2 linked regions of the Stegostoma tigrinum genome follow. The protein of the gene in region 2 purifies or fractionates together with the protein of the main gene of each other region. This does not show direct contact. Links are inferred from orthologs where the notes say so. Each region holds a gene or a part of one and is shown on either strand. Other genes may lie near its edges.

Evidence for each region.
Region 1: the proteins of ptpn18 (region 2) and pstpip2 purify together in Homo sapiens (affinity purification with mass spectrometry; 4 studies listed by BioGRID and IntAct, with this or other methods). This does not show direct contact. The link is inferred for Stegostoma tigrinum from reciprocal best matches to the Homo sapiens genes PTPN18 and PSTPIP2.

Annotation. Positions count from the first base shown.
Region 1 is NC_081354.1:162,349,602-162,357,637, forward strand, and holds the start of pstpip2 (proline-serine-threonine phosphatase-interacting protein 2), read left to right. Parts: upstream 1-4,998; 5' UTR 4,999-5,316; coding exon 5,317-5,349; intron 5,350-8,036. UniProt on the Homo sapiens protein: Binds to F-actin. May be involved in regulation of the actin cytoskeleton.
Region 2 is NC_081402.1:2,190,067-2,198,005, forward strand, and holds the start of ptpn18 (tyrosine-protein phosphatase non-receptor type 18), read left to right. Parts: upstream 1-4,837; 5' UTR 4,838-6,606; coding exon 6,607-6,696; intron 6,697-7,939. UniProt on the Homo sapiens protein: Differentially dephosphorylate autophosphorylated tyrosine kinases which are known to be overexpressed in tumor tissues.

The DNA of each region.
Region 1 (8,036 bases), on a different chromosome or scaffold from region 2:
CGAAGGATGCTGTAGGTTGCAGAGAGACATAGATAAGCTGCAGAGCTGGGCTGAGAGGTGGCAAATGGAGTTTAATGCAGACAAGTGTGAGGTGATGCACTTTGGTAGGAGTAACCAGAAGGCAAAGTACAGGGCTAATGGTAAGATTCTTAGTAGTGTAGATGAGCAGAGAGATCTCGGTGTCCATGTTCACAGATCCTTGAAAGTTGCCACCCAGGTTGACAGGGCTGTTAAGGCGGCATACAGTGTTTTAGCTTTTATTAATAGAGGGATCTAGTTCCGGAACCATGAGGTTATGCTGCAACTGTACAAAAGTCTGGTGCGGCCGCACTTGGAGTATTGCGTACAGTTCTGGTCACCGTATTATAAGAAGGATGTGGAAGCTTTGGAAAGGGTGCAGAGGAGATTTACTAGGATGTTGCCTGGTATGGAGGGAAGGTCTTATGAGGAAAGGCTGAGGGACTTGAAGCTGTTTTCATTAGAGAGAAGAAGGTTGAGAGGTGACTTATTTGAAACATATGAAATAATCAGAGGGTTAGATAGGGTGGATAGGGAGAGCCTTTTTCCTAGGATGGTGACGGTGAGCATGAGGGGGCATAGCTTTAAATTGAGGGCTGAAAGATATAGGACAGATGTCAGAGGTAGTTTCTTTACTCAGAGAGTAGTAAGGGAATGGAACGCTTTGCCTGCAATGGTAGTAGATTCGCCAACTTTAGGTACAAAGTCGTCATTGGATAAGCATATGGATGTACATGGAATAGCGTAGGTTAGATGGGCTTGAGATCGGTATGACAGGTCGGCACAACATCAAGAGCTGAAGGGCCTGTACTGTGCTGTAATGTTCTATGTTCTATCTCCTTGGTGGATCTTCACCTGGATATTTCTCCTTCAGGAGACTGTGCAGCAGTTGCTGGTGTTTGCCGTTCCTACTAGCTTTGATGAGGATGCTGTTTCCTTCTATATTATGCAGTTGTACAAAGACTTCAAGGATTCCGGCCATTGTGAGAATATCGGGTCATTAAAGTGCCGCATAGATGCTGGGGTGTCAAGCTACATCATGATCTTCAGTCTGATGTGAAGTGATGTAACATGGTGATTTGAAAATGAAGCCGTCAAAAGTAAGGTTAAGATTTTATGATGGTACCACACTATTCCACTTCCCAGCACTTGATATGTATAGCTCATCCAAGTACTTATTACAATTTGTGATGTTTCCCAGCTCTATTTCCCTGTCTCGTAGTGCATTCCAGATTTTCATGTCTGTCTGGGTGAAAAGCTCTTTCCTCAAATCCCCTCCAATGCTCCTGCCTTTCACCTTGAAACTATGCCCCCTCGTTATTAATCCTTCAACTAAGGGGAACAGCTGCTTCCTATTCACCCTGTCCATGCCCCTGATAATCTTATACACCTCAAGCAAAATCCTGCTTAGCCATCTCCGCTCTAACAAAAAGAACACAAACCTATCCAGCCTCTCTTCATGGCTAAAATGCTTCATCTTAGTCAACCACCTGGTGAATCTCCTCTGCATCTTCTCCAGTGCTTCCTATTTATATCTTCCCATACAGCAATGACCAGACATGCACACAGTACTCCAGCTGTGGCCCAACTAAAGTTTTGTACAGCTGTAACAAACCAGCGTCAACAAAACCTTGTACAGTGTGAACAGAATCTTCCTGTTCTGATAAATTATGCAATGATTGACAAACACAAGTGTCCTGCATGCCTTCTTAACTATCCTATTAGCCTGTCCTGACAAGTGTCCTGACACCTTCAGATGTCTGTAGACAGCATCCGAAGGAACCTCTGCTCTATATTCTGCCATTACAACAATGAAGATCTGGAGTTCCACATCATAGACGGCACGCAATGCCAAACATCCCTGCCACAATGAGTCTAAGGCTTGGACTGGCAACCCACAAAGTGCCAAAGCAGCTTTGTACTCATGTCACATCAGTCCCTAAGATAACCATTGAAAGAATCTTTCCAAACTTGCTAAATCTTCAACACCAAAGCATGGATATTGGCAAAACTGAAATCTGGCTTGATAGATCGTATTTTGTTTTGTTTTAGTTTTAACAAGGTTGTCTCTCATTAAAGTATAAGTACACAATGTTACAGATTTTGTTTTAAAACAAGTTTATTAACCAGAAAAATTAAGAAAAATATATAATAAACCAAATTATTTAGTTATCTTTCAAATTCAAAGATTCTTACACGCAGAAGTATTATTCTATTAATCCCAAAACACTTACAAATTCCAAAATAAAAACATTCATTGTACAGTTCCTAAAACCACTCCTTGTATAGTACTTCCACCAGGGAAAAATACATCTCTTCCTAATACTTTGATAGGGTTAAGGTGACTGTGTATTTAATTCCTAAACTGGAAATGCTGATAGTTTGTCTGTGGAACTATCATACACCTGTTCTTAAAGGCACTTAACTTCAGATACACACTTCAGCTTTTATCCCAACACTTTTGATTTGCTACTATCACTAACTCCCTACTCTAAGGTAAACTTATTATATTCTCCCCTTCCCAGGTGTACTGTTCTGGATAATTATTCCTCTCAAAGGGCTTCAACGAGCTGATAGAAAAGAAAAGCAAAATTGGAAACAGCTCTCTCTAAACTATGAGGATTTTCCTACGCTTAGGAAAACCATAACAGAAATTTCTAACGGACCTTCAAGCACAATGTTTTCCTTTACTAAGGCGTGAAACATCCTAAGGTAAACAAAGAAAAATTAGAGAGATACCAAGGTGTGGAGCTGGATGAATACAGCAGGCCAAGCAGCATCCTAGGAGCAGAAAAGCTGACGTTTCAGGCCTAGGCCCTTATTCAGAAAGAAAAATTAATTTTTCTGATGAAGGCTCTAGGCCCGAAATGTCAGCTTTCCTGCTCCTAGGATGCTGCTTGGCCTGCTGTATTCATCCAGCTCCACACCTTGGTATCTCGGATTCGCCAGCATCTGCAGCTCCTATTATCTCTGATACAAAGAAAATTTAATGCTGCCAAAGTAGCTCTCACAAACTGTTCTAACAAATAAAACAAAAAAAATCACCATTTCTACAGAAAGTTAATTATCACCTTCAGACACTCAGAAAAGTCACACGACACCAACTCAAATTGTAAAACCCAAACTAAAAATAAATGACCCATGTTGTACACATGTAAGAGAAAGAACCAAACCACAACCTAATTCCAATTGTGATTTCTCTCCACAAATGCTGCCAAAGCTGCTGAGCTTTTACAGCAATTTCTGTTTTTGTCAGCAGGTCTGGCAGCATGTGTGAACGGAAAAACAGAGGTAACGTTTTGGTTCCGGTCAACAGACCTGAAATGTTAACTCTCTTTTTTTCCTTCACAGATGCTGCCAAATCCGCTGAGTTCCTGATTTACAGCATCCACAGTTATTTCAGTTTTTATCCAGGAAAATGAGTTGTTTCAGATTCTATTGATAATCTCCCAAGCATGGTTGGACTTTGACATTTTTGTGGCCCTCATAATTTTTGCAGAGTTTGATTTTTTTGTGTTTTTAAATAGATTTCTTGTTTTCCATGTGATTGTATGCCTAATATTATTGGGTGATCCACAATTGACTAAGCAGAGAGTTATGGTGAAAAGTAGAGCACGGTGACTCAGCGGTTAGCTCTGCTGCCTCATTGCGCTAGGGATCCGGGTTCAATTCCACCCTCGGGTAACTTTGTGGAGTTTGCACATTCTCCCTAGTGTCTGCGTGGGTTTCCTCCTGGTGCTCTGGTTTCCTCCCACAGTCCAAAGATGTGCAGGTTAGGTGGATTGCCCATAGAGTTCAGGGACGTGTAGATAGGGGGATGGGTCTGGGTGGGATGCTCTGAGGGTCAGTGTGGACTTGTTGGGCCGAAGGGCCTGCTTCCACACTGTAGGGATTCTGTGATGATCTGAGATATCAGTGAAGAATACAGTGGTAACCCCTGGTGGCAAACATTGGGACCACAGCTCTTTCTGGTATATATTAACAACCCATGCTTGGGATCAGAGAGCATAATTACAAATTTTACAGTTGTATTGAAATCTGGAAACATAGTGTCAGTGAGCATGACAGTAGCACACTTCCAAAGGAGAGAAAGCCTGGCGCAACGAGCAGACAGATGGAGATTAAATTTAATGTAGATCAGTGAGAAGTGATGCATTTTGATGGATAAGTAGGTAGAGTTGTAACAGAGTGCAACTAGAAAAAGACCTTGGGGTGTACAAGTACAACTTTGACAATGACACAAGTTCAGAAGGTTCTCAAAGAAAATATTGGATCCTTATAACTTGAGGCATAATGGCTGATTTGCGGTCCCACACTCTAGAAAGAATGTCAAAGCTTCAGAGAGCATGAAGAGGAGATTTATTAAAATAGTATGATAGGAATATGGGAACACGGGTTAATGGAGAACTTAGGTAGGTTAATTGCTTTGCAGCAGAGAAGATTTGATAATGGGTGCACTGAAAGTTACAGTAATTTCTTTCCAGCAGCAATTAATTACCAGACGGCACAAATTTAAGCTAATTGGCAAAAGAACTAGAGGTGATACAAGGAAAACACTGCACACAGTTGCTACGATCTGGAATACACTGCCTGTCAGTTTGTGGAAGCGGATTCAACTGTAAATGCTTACGCAAGGAATCAGGCCCTGCCTCGACCCCACTTTAGAAACTGCTGTGGAAGGATTACCCTATTGTACTGTAGAGACTAACTTTCTTTCCATGACGTGGCTGGCCAGGAATATCACTCCATCTCAACAAAATATTTCGGCAGGAGTTATAAATTGATACTCAACCTGCTTGACCTTGCTATGAACACAATTTTCTTGGACATTAAACACTGCATGGGGATCTCGATGCTGCAGTGCTGCAAGACCTCCTGTCTCTGAATTCTAGTAGATATCACCACTTTGCAATCGGTGCATTAATTTTGAGCGCCTAACGCCTGAGTGCTGACTGGAAAACAGGAATTTGCTTCTTCGTCATTTCAGTGAACAGTAAGCATCCCAACTCAAATAGAAATAATACCACGTGGATCAATGTATTGCAGCCTCCCTGCACATCCCCGGCAGACACCAGGACCCAGAGGAATCCAATTCTGTCTGTGTGCCTTTTTGGGTGAAGGAATTAAAAACAGTCGAAGGGTGGCGAATTAGACAAATGTCTTTCAGAGCAAGCAAATCATCGACAAGACAGTAGCACTCGTGAACCTGCTGACAAGACGGAACAGGAGTTTTCAGCAGCAAGTTGCTGCTGGATTTCTGGGGATAGTGTTAACGCAGGTTTGGCATTTAATTTCAACATGAGAGAGCCACGGTTTCGGGACAACTTCTGGGTAAGTGGCTTTCGCGCTGTCTGTCTAAGGCTGTACTCATTTATCTGCTGGGAATTTGATTGGGGAGGTGGGACATGGATTTTCATCTTAAGGTGTGCTTGTGCGTCTGTTAGATTTGTGAGTGGGTAAACATTCCCAATGTATTTTGTTTTACTGAACATCGAATACAGTTTAAGTTACGTAGGTGTCCCTTGCTCGTTCTCTCTCGGCATTTCAAGCTGACTCACACCTAAAATGCTCGCAACGAATCCCCACAGGCTGGTCCTGTAAAAAAATTTGTTACCTGGAAATCTGAGACCAATATCTGAAAAATGTTTCCCGTTCTTTTGAAGTGTTGTGTCTCAAATATTAATCCACCCCTCCCCAATTCGCAGATGTTGCCCGACGTGTTAACTATATTCAGCATTTTCCTTTAACTATAGAAGATAGCAGAGTGTGAAGAAAGTAAATACACATCTTCGATCTTTATTCCAGCTCAAGTTGTAGGTGCAAACCGGTTTGTTCTTTAGGATCGGTTTTTTTCCCTCTATTATTCATTAACCGGATGAGGGTGTCACTGGCTGAGCAGCATTTATTGCCCATCCGTAATTGCCCTGAAGGCAGTTCAGAGTCAACCACATCGCTGTGGGTCTGGAGTCACATGTAGGCCATACCGGGTAAGGATGGCAGTTTCCTTCCCTCAAGGACATTAGTGAACCAGGTGGGTTTTTCCTGACAATGGACAATGAATTCACGATCGTCCTTAGACTCTTAATTCCAGATATTTTTACTGAATTCAGATTCCACCATCTGCTGCAGTGGGATTCAAACCTGTGTCCCCAGAACGTTATCTGGGTCTCTGGATTAATAGTCTTGCGATAATACCACTAGGCTATTGCCTCCCCTAGTTAAGCCACTTGAAAGGGCAATTTCAAAAGTAAAATACTGGAAATCTGACAGATAAAGGATACCACTGGAAAAACTCAGTTTGATAGTTCTGAGTTCATGTTTCTTGGCCTTTCATTTTGGAGGTAGGAGGGACGTTGATATAAGCAGACAGTGGAGTCTGATTTCATCCTGCCTCCACCAGAATTGGGTTCTGGGCAGGAAAGTGCTTTTTTTCCACCCTCTTCACCAAAGTTGCTAGCTGTCCTGGAGATACCTTGTCACTTTTTGTGGGTAACTCTTGATTAAGGAACTGAACATCAGACTATGTGGTGCCAATTGGAAACCACGTCTTGTCCTTGCTTTTGCCACGCCCCAACTACCTTTGGCCTTGGCCCTGTGATCTTGGGTCTCAGTCTTAGCCTCCTCTATGGTGCTGCTGAGTGAAATGTGCTTGGGCTGTCATTGGCCAATGTTCCCCTTCATCTTCGACTGCAAGGAAAGACCCATCATTTCTGGGTGTACATGTGGGGTTTGTGGGTTTTCCCTGTAGCTGGCTGATGAGACCCTCCATAGCCATTCCACCATTTGGCCTTCCCTGGTATTGCTGCATACACTGCGTGGAAGGAGAAATGGAGTAGATTCATTGAGGCAAAATCTCAGTTTGAGAAGCAGCTGAAAACTGAGCTGGAGCCAGAACCCCAGGTGAACTTTGCTGCTCCAGCCATTTACGTCATGATTTAATGTGGCTTGTGCCAGCATGGGATTATCGTAACTTCAGGTTTCGGCATGAGGAAAATGTTTGGTAAACTTATCTGAGACAGGAACACTTCCGGATCCACCCAGTTCACTGATGAAAGGGATGGTAGCACCATGATAAAGGATTCTATTCATCAAAGTAGGTGGTGCACTGATGATGTTTCGGTGACAACCTCAGAGAACCTCTGCTGAGGCAGTTGTAGGTGGACTGCGCAATAAACCTGCAACATCAGTGTTGTCTCACAATGCTGTCAGGAACCAATTTTAAATCTGTGAAATTGCCTGCCCCATCACCATCTGAGATAGCTGTGCTCATCCAATTCTAGCCTATCATCCCACCGTCCACCTTCCTGATCTTTTTTTGCTCCACCATTTGGTAGCGGTGTCTTCAGCTACCCAGGCCTAGCTCCATAAACCTCTCCACCTTGCTCTGCCTCACTTTGCTCCTTTATGACTTTCTCCTTGCAACCTACCTGGTCATCTGACCCACGCTCCCTCCACCACGTTGTTCTGTGTCATATTTGGTTTCAGAAGGCAACTGCAAAGTGCCTTAAAGAGCATGGGACTTTTATGTTGAGGTTATCGCATAAATAGAAGATGTTGTTGTGATGCATAGCATCTTTTCTCTTGCTTCCACATGCAAACAACAATCTGATGGTAGAGAACAGCTCTGTGAAAGTGAAACTATTACGAATTCTCAGAAACACTTCTCAGAGACAGGTTGAACTGGTTTTGGGATGCAGTGGGTGGAGGGGAAGAGCTGGGCTGGTTGTGTGGTGCAGTGGGGGCAGGGGACGAACTGGGCTGGTTTAGGGATGCGGTGGGGGAAGGGGAGATTTTGAAACTGGTGAAGTCCACATTGATACCATTAGGCTGCAGGGTTCCCAGGCGGAATATGAGTTGCTGTTCCTGCAACCTTCGAGTGGCATCATTGTGGCACTGCAGGAGGCCCATGATGGACATGTCATCTAGAGAATGGGAGGGGGAGTGGAAATGGTTTGCGACTGGGAGGTGCAGTTGTTTGTTGCGGACTGAGCGGAGGTGTTCTGCAAAGCGGTCTCCAA
Region 2 (7,939 bases):
GCGCCATCCTGCGTTGTCGGAGGGTCCGAGGCGGACAATGTTTGGGGCCCAGGGCACGACCCTGAGGAACTCCTGCAGAAATGTCCTGGAGCTGAGATGACTGACCTCGATCAACCACAACCATCTTCCTATGTGCCAGCTATGACCCCAACCAGCAGAGAGTTTGCCCCGCCACCCCGATGCCACACTCGGTCGAATGCAGCCTTGACCTCAAACTCAAGGACTCAGCACTTCTTTCTGTCCACGTTTGAACAAGGCTGGAATGAGGTCAGGAGCTGGGCAGTCACCGAGCAAGTTACTGTTTGATAGCGCTGTTAGTGAGACCTTCCATCACCTTAGTGGTGATTGAGAGGAGACCATTGGGGCGGTAATCGGCCGGGTTGGATATGTCCTGCTTTTTGTTTACAGGGCTTACTTGGGCAATTTTCCAGGTAGATGCCAGTGTTGTAACCGGACTGGAACAGCTCGGCTATGGGACCGGCAAGTTCTGGAGCACAAGTCTTCAGTACTACTGCAGGAATGTCGTCAGGGCCCATGGCCTTTACAGTATCCAGTGTCTCCAACTGTTTCTTGATATCAAATTGGCTGGAGACCGGGATACCCAGGCACATTGCAAGGGGCCGGGTTTGGGGGGGGGGGGGGGGGGGGGGGGTGAGCGCACATAAAATACCACAGTCGCTGGAATTCTGAAATGGACAGAGGATGCTGGAGAAACTCAGCAGGTCTGACAGCATCTGTCGACACACACAGACTCACAATTTTGAGTCCGCTCCTGGGATTGATGCAGAGGTCTCTCCCTGGTGTCCAAGCCCCCTTTAAGTCGTCATTGGACAAGCATATGGACGTACATGGAATAGTGTAGGTTAGATGGGCTTGAGGTCGGTATGACAGGTCGGCACAACTTCGAGGGCCGGAGGGCCTGTACTGTGCTGTAATGTTCTATGTTCTATGTGTATCCCTGCAAACACACCAGAGCCTGCAACACGTCGGGGGGGAGGCTACAGGCAAACTGGCCATTGCCCTTCCCCTGCCAACAAGGAGACTTTTACATGCACAGCAAGCTCCCGCATGCTACAGTTTGAAGACCCGACTGGTCAGTCTGGTCTTTCTTTGGAAAGCAACATCGGTGGTGTACACAGAGCCCCAGTCACACGTATTCGCTGTTACCACCCTCGGAGACAGACAGCACCCTGACCAAAACCGTGACGTGAGACAGTGCTCTGCTACACTCCTACAAGTTTATCGGCCAATTCAGCCCATCAAGTCTGCTCCCCCATTCAGTAAGATCATGACTGAGTTGATCACCACCCTCAAATCTGCTCTCCCGCCATTTCCCCATAACTCCTCGATTCCCCCTTCCTGCTTAAACATCTCTCTCTCTCAGCCTCAAATATAACCCCTCGATCCCCCCCCTTCCTGATTAAACATCTCTCTCTCTCAGCATTGAATATAACCCCTCGATCCCCCCCACTTCCTGATTAAACATCTCAGCCTCGAGCGACACAGCACCGACAGCCCTCTGCGGTGAGGAATTGCACAGACTCACTCCCCTTGGAGGGAGGAAAGTCCTCCCCATCTCTGCCCTCAATGGGCGACCCACCCACGTCCCCACCTTACTCTGAGAACGATGCCCGCTCTGGTCCTAGACTCTCCCACACAAAGCGTGGAAACGATCCCTCCGTATCTCCCCTGTCAGGCTCTCCCCCTCCCCACCCTGGCAGCCTTTTCTGTTTCAATAAGATCACCCCCTCACTCACCTAAACTCCACCTGACGTACTCAACCTCTCCCTCAGGAGGCAGCCCCTCCATCCCCCGGATTGGCCAATGAGCCTCCTCTCAACTGCAGTCTGTCTTTACTCAGACAATTGGGGCCCAGAACCGTTCACAGTAAACCAGCTGTGGTCTGGCTCTTTGCTTCGTACAGTTTTAGCACGAAACCCCTAAGTTTGTACTCTATTCCCTTAGAGAGACAAATCGATAGTCAGCCTGAACTTAGATGTTAGTTTTTTTTTGGAGATTTGTGCACGAGGACTCGCAAATCCCTCTGTTCCAAAGCTTTCCACATTTAAATAATATTCAACTCCTCTGTTCTTCCTGCTTAGGGTGCATTCCCCACCCGTCTCTGTAGTGCAGCAGCTGCTCGGTTACTGGCCCAGTGCAAATGGAAATTTGCTCTCAACTTTTGCTTTAACCTGTGGTTCTGGTTGTGCAGACTGCCCTCAGCACTCAAGCCTCCCCCCCCCCCACCACCCGCCCCACTATTTTTGGGCGCGCCTGCCTGCATCTCGGAAGCAACGAGGCGCAGGTCAAAGGACTGACGTGGCGGGTTTTTAAAAATAGGTGAGGTGAGACGAAGCGACAGGGGACGCGGGCCTGGTCTCTATCTCCCCCGCCGAGACGGGCAGGCTGGTGGTGAGGTGCAATGCGATCACCGTCTGCACTTTGGGGCCGAACAGGCTCTGCTAGGCGCACAGGAGGAGAAAGAAACATACAAGCTGCTCGGTTATTTATAACTGCGACCGCATCAGTTTACAGACTTGGGAGAATGTGGCTGGTGGAGGGGCGATATTACCAGGAGGCAGTCCTTGTTGGTGGTGGGAGCAGACAGGTCAGACCCCGGCAGACGTTGGGATACAAATCCTGAGGGATGCTGGAGAAACTCAGCAGGGCTGGCAGTCCCCTGGATGGAGGGGTGAGGGGGATTGTGGATGTGGAGGAGAGAAATGGACTTGTCTCGGGCCTGGTATCACTGTTAGACTGCCTCACCCTCACTGCACATGCACAATGACTCTCAACCTCACCTTGTACACACAAGCAAGGACTCATTCCAACATCACGTGCACACGCACGCCCCCATCCTCCTCCCACCCTGATACGCAGACAGATGCACCGCTCTCCCGTGTATAGAGATACACACGCATGGCCACCATATACGCACCTCATCCCCCCTCATGCACACTTCCCCACATCCACGTGTGCAGTCACAACACACACACACACACTCCATATATATGCAATCCCCCTATACATGACCACCCCCCAATGTACACACAGGTCCTATACACAGGTCAGTCCCGTACGCAGCCCCAAATACACAGGTCGGTCCCGTATGCAGCCCCAGTACACACGCACATTCCACATACAACTCCAAACACACCCACCCTCCATATACACGACAGTCCCATTCACTGCCCCAAATACACCCGCCCACCCCGCCTCCATACACACCCGCCACCCCCCCCGCCTCCATACACACCCGCCACCCCCCCCGCCTCCATACACACCCGCCACCCCGCCTCCATATACACGCTGGTCCCATTCACTGCCCCAAATACACGCCCCTCCCCCCCCCCAAATACACGCCCCTCCCCCCCCCAAATACACGCCCCTCCCCCCCCAAATACACGCCCCTCCCCCCCCAAATACACGCCCCTCCCCCCCAGTACACGCCCCTCCCCCCCCAAATACACGCCCCTCCCCCCCAGTACACGCCCCTCCCCCCCAGTACACGCCCCTCCCCCCCCCAAATACACGCCCCTCCCCCCCCCCAAATACACGCCCCTCCCCCCCCCCCCCAAATACACGCCCCTCCCCCCCCAAATACACGCCCCTCTCCCCCCAAATACACGCCCCTCCCCCCCCCAAATACACGCCCCTCCCCCCCCAAATACACGCCCCTCCCCCCCCCAAATACACGCCCCTCCCCCCCCCAAATACACGCCCCTCCCCCCCCCCCAAATACACGCCCCTCCCCCCCCCCAAATACACGCCCCTCCCCCCCCCCAAATACACGCCCCTCCCCCCCCCCAAATACACGCCCCACCCCCCTAAATACACGCCGGTCCCATACACAACCCCAAATACACCCCACCCCCAACGTACGTCCTACATACGCCCCGTACACACCCCATAATTACATACCCTGACACAGAGGCAGAGGCAGAGGCAGAGGCTCCCCTCCCAACCTCACACCTTCCCTGTTCCCTCCGCTCACCTCCCGGCCTCCCCCAGTGTCAGCTTCTGGGACCCGGTATCAGGGGGAGCCCCCACTTCTCCCCCTGTCCCTGGGGCCTGATCCCTGTTTCTCTCACCTTCCGCTGCCGGCCCTGACTGACGTTGACGCCGACCAATCCGAGCGGCCGCCTCCTCCGCACCTCTCCACCCTGCCCCGCCTCCTTCGCCGGGTTTCTCCAATCCGAACCCGACCAGGCGCCGTCTCCGCCTTCGAATGGCTGCCCCGTCACCCAATCAGCGGGAAACGCTCACGTCGGAACCAATGGCAGCTCCAGTGGTTGAGGAAGCCTACTCGGATTGGTCAAGCGCTCACAGCCATTTAGACTGCTACCCGCCCCCTTCACGCATCGAACCAATGGGAGGGCGGGTCAGAAAAAAGACGTGACATTTAACCATTCAGCAGTCAGGCTTGTTGTCCGCCTTCCCCCATCTTAGGCCAATGGAAGACAAAGATTCTCCAAAGGACACACCATTTCACCAATAAAAAGGCAGCATGGAAATCCCGCCTCCATCTCTGACCAATAGTGGGTACCCAATTACTGATGGACGCGGCTCCTAACCAATCGAAGGGTGGAGATTCTATCCTCCCCGTCCCGCCCCTCCGTCGACCCACACGATGGGCGCGGCTTCCCTCCAACAGCCGCCGGGCTTATGTCACGCCCCTTCCAAATCGAGCCACTGGGGTGAGGGCCTGCGCTCTGACGGACGTGGATTCCGACCAGTAGGCGCTGGCGTGGGCGGAGCCGCGCCCTGGAGGTGTGTCAAGGAGACCCCGATGGGCAGGGGCTTCGGTCCAATCAGGTGCCGTGCCCGCGGGGGGCGGGAGAGCGAGAGAGATCGCAGTTAGAGAGAGAGAGTTCAAACTGCAAATACGGAGTTATCAGAGAGAGAGAGAAAAAGGGGGAAAGTAGTCATTGTGAGGGTAAAATTAGTCAAACAGACAGAGGGGGGCAAAGAAGTGAAAGAGAGAGAGAGAGAAAAAAGGGGGGGAAGTGAGAAAGAGAAAACAGTGAAGGGGGAAGAGAAAGAGGAGAAAAAAGTGAAGGAAAGAGAAAGAAAAAAGTGAGGTGGAGAGAGAGAAAACAGTGAAGGAGAGAGAGAAAATAGTCAAGGAGGAAGAGAAAGAGGAGAAAAAGGTGAAGGAAATAGAAAGAAAAAAAAACAGTGAGAGAAGAAGAGAGAGAAAATAGTCAAGGAGGAAGAGAAAGAGGAGAAAAAGGTGAAGGAAATAGAAAGAAAAAAGTGAGGTGGAGAGAGAGAAAACAGTAAAGGAGAGAGAGAAAATAGTCAAGGAGGAAGAGAAAGAGGAGAAGAAGGTGAAGGAAATAGAAAGAAAAAACCTTGAGAGAAGAAGAGAGAGAAAATAGTCAAGGAGGAAGAGAAAGAGGAGAAGAAAGTGAAGGAAAGACGTGGGGGGGACGAAGAGGGAGAAAATAGTGAGGCATAGAAAGGAAAAGTAGTGAAGGAAGGAAGAGATGGGGAAAAAGTGAAGGAAAGAGAGAGAGAGAGAGAAATTAGAGAAGTAGAGAAAGGTGGAAAAGAGGGAGAAAATAGTGGGTCGGAGAAAGGGAAAGTCGTGAAGGAGGGAGAAAATTGTGAATGTGGAAGAGATGGAAAAAAAGTGAAGGGGAGAGAGAGAGAGAGAAAATATTGAAGTGGAGAGAAGGGTAGAAAGCGAAAGAGAGAAGGAAACAAGTGAAAGACAGAGATAAGATAGTGACAGAAAAAGAGAGGAAAAATGGTGAGACAGAGAGTGGGGCGAAAGTGAGTGAAAGAGAGAAAGTAGTGAAGGGAAAAGAGTCAGGGAGAGAAAACAGTGAAGGAGAGAGAGTTTAAATTGGAAATAGATAATAGAGTTGTCAGAGAGGCAGAGGAATATAAAGTGGAAATATATAAAGTAGAGTTATCAGAGAGAAAATAGTGAATAAGAGAAAGTTAATAGTAAAAGGGAGAAAGCGTGCATTGGGAAATATGTAAGTATAGAGTTATCACACAGAGGGAGAGGAAGAGAAAATAGTGAGGGAGACGGTTTAAACTGGAAATAGACTGTACGAGTGAACACAGACAGACAGAGAGAGAGAGAAGAGAATGGTGTAGAAAAAAGTGAGGAGGGAGCAAATAGTGTGACATTGTGAGGAAGTAGTGAGAAAATTAAATAGATAGAGAGACAGTGTCGGTGAAAACAGAGAGGCAGAATGGAGTGTGATTGAAAGCAGCGAGAGAGAAAACCGATTTTGAATAGAGTTGGAGAAACTGAGAAGTCAAGCAGACAGTGGGTCAACAGTGCGCGTGAGAGAGAATCGAGGGAGAGGTAACGGTGAGGGAGTGGCCTGGAGAGAGAGAGAGAGAGAGAGATAGAGAGAATCGTTGTGGAGGGAGTGTTGGGCAGGAAGGACAGAGAGTAGCTTGAGGGAGATGGTCTGGAGATAACGGATTATTCAGAGCGAGAGAGAGAGAGAGAGAGAGAAGATCTTGGGAGAATGAGAGGACCCAGGGCTGTGTGAGTGTCGGATAAAGTTGGGCAGCAGTCAGAGGCCAGAGAGCGGTTGCAGTGCGGGCTGCGAGACGGGGTGAGGTGGAGCGCCGTGACCCATGGAGGAGATACTGAGAGGGTTCCTGCAGCACCTCGCTGAGCTGGAGAAGGCGGATGGAGACGAGAGCGGATTCAGCAAGGAATTCAGTGTAAGCCTGGGCCGCGGTACCGCTGGCAGGGTGTGGGTCCCAGCTCGCTCGCTGGATGGTGTCGGGTTCGGAATGGTCTCTGCTACCCCCCCCCCACCCCCAACCCCACCCCCACCTCACCTCACTAGCTCTGGGGAGGTGCGGGAGAAACCCGTGGTGATCATCTGTGAGTAAGGTAATAGGTGGAAGGGCTGAGTGGCCTGCGTCAGTGAGTCTGCACATCCTGGTCGATCGGATCTCAGTGAGCAAGGGTCACAGCTCCCCAGGCAGAATGTACAATGACCTCTGCCCCTCCCACTCCCTTTCCCAACACTCCTAGCCCCCCAGCATTTTCTCGTACACCTACAGGGGTCAGCCCTTGCTCAGCTCCCTCAGCCATGGTGAAGATGGCAAAACTGGACTAAGAGCCTGTAAACTGCAGCTCTAGTCATTACTTCAGCTGTTAAACATGGCAATTTGTGTGTGTGTGTGTGTGTATACGTGCATGTGTGCGCATGCGCCACTTGTCTATGTGTGTGTGTGTGTCTCCCTGTGAGAGTGTGTATGTGTGGATGCATGTCTCCGTGTCTGTGTGTGTGCACATGCATGTGACTGCCTGTCTATCTTTCATATCAGTCTCTGACTGTCTGTCCGACTGTGTGTCTGAGTGACAGCGTGACTATCTGACTGTGTCTGTGCTGTCTGACTGTGCCTGGCTGTATTTGTGTGTGTGCGACTGTGTGTCTGTGTCTGTCTGACTGTGTGTCCATATGTCTGTGTGACTGTCGGTGTCCTGTCTGTCTGCCTCGGTTGCTAGCTGTGTCTGTGTGAGTTTGTATGGCTGTTTGATAATGTGTGTCTGTGTGACTTTCTGACTGACCGTGTGTCTGCCTGACTGTGTGTATCTGTGTGACTTGCTAACTATGTGTGTCTGTGAGAGAGACTGCGCGACTCTGACTGTGTGTGTGTGTGAGAGAGAGTGTGTGTGTGTGTGTGTGTGTGTGTGTGTGTGTGTGTGTGTGAGAGAGAGAGCGACAGTCTGTGTGACTCTGTGACTGTGTATGAGAGAGAGAGACTGCGTGACTCTGTGATTGTGTGTGCGCGCGCGCACCTGTGTGTGTGTGTGTGTGTGTGAGAGAGAGAGACTGCGTGACTGTGTGCGCGCGAGAGACTGTCTGCGCGACTGTGACTGTGCGCGTGCGAGAGACCATCTGCACGACTGTGACTGTGCGCGCGCGAGAGACCGTCTGCGCGACTGTGACTG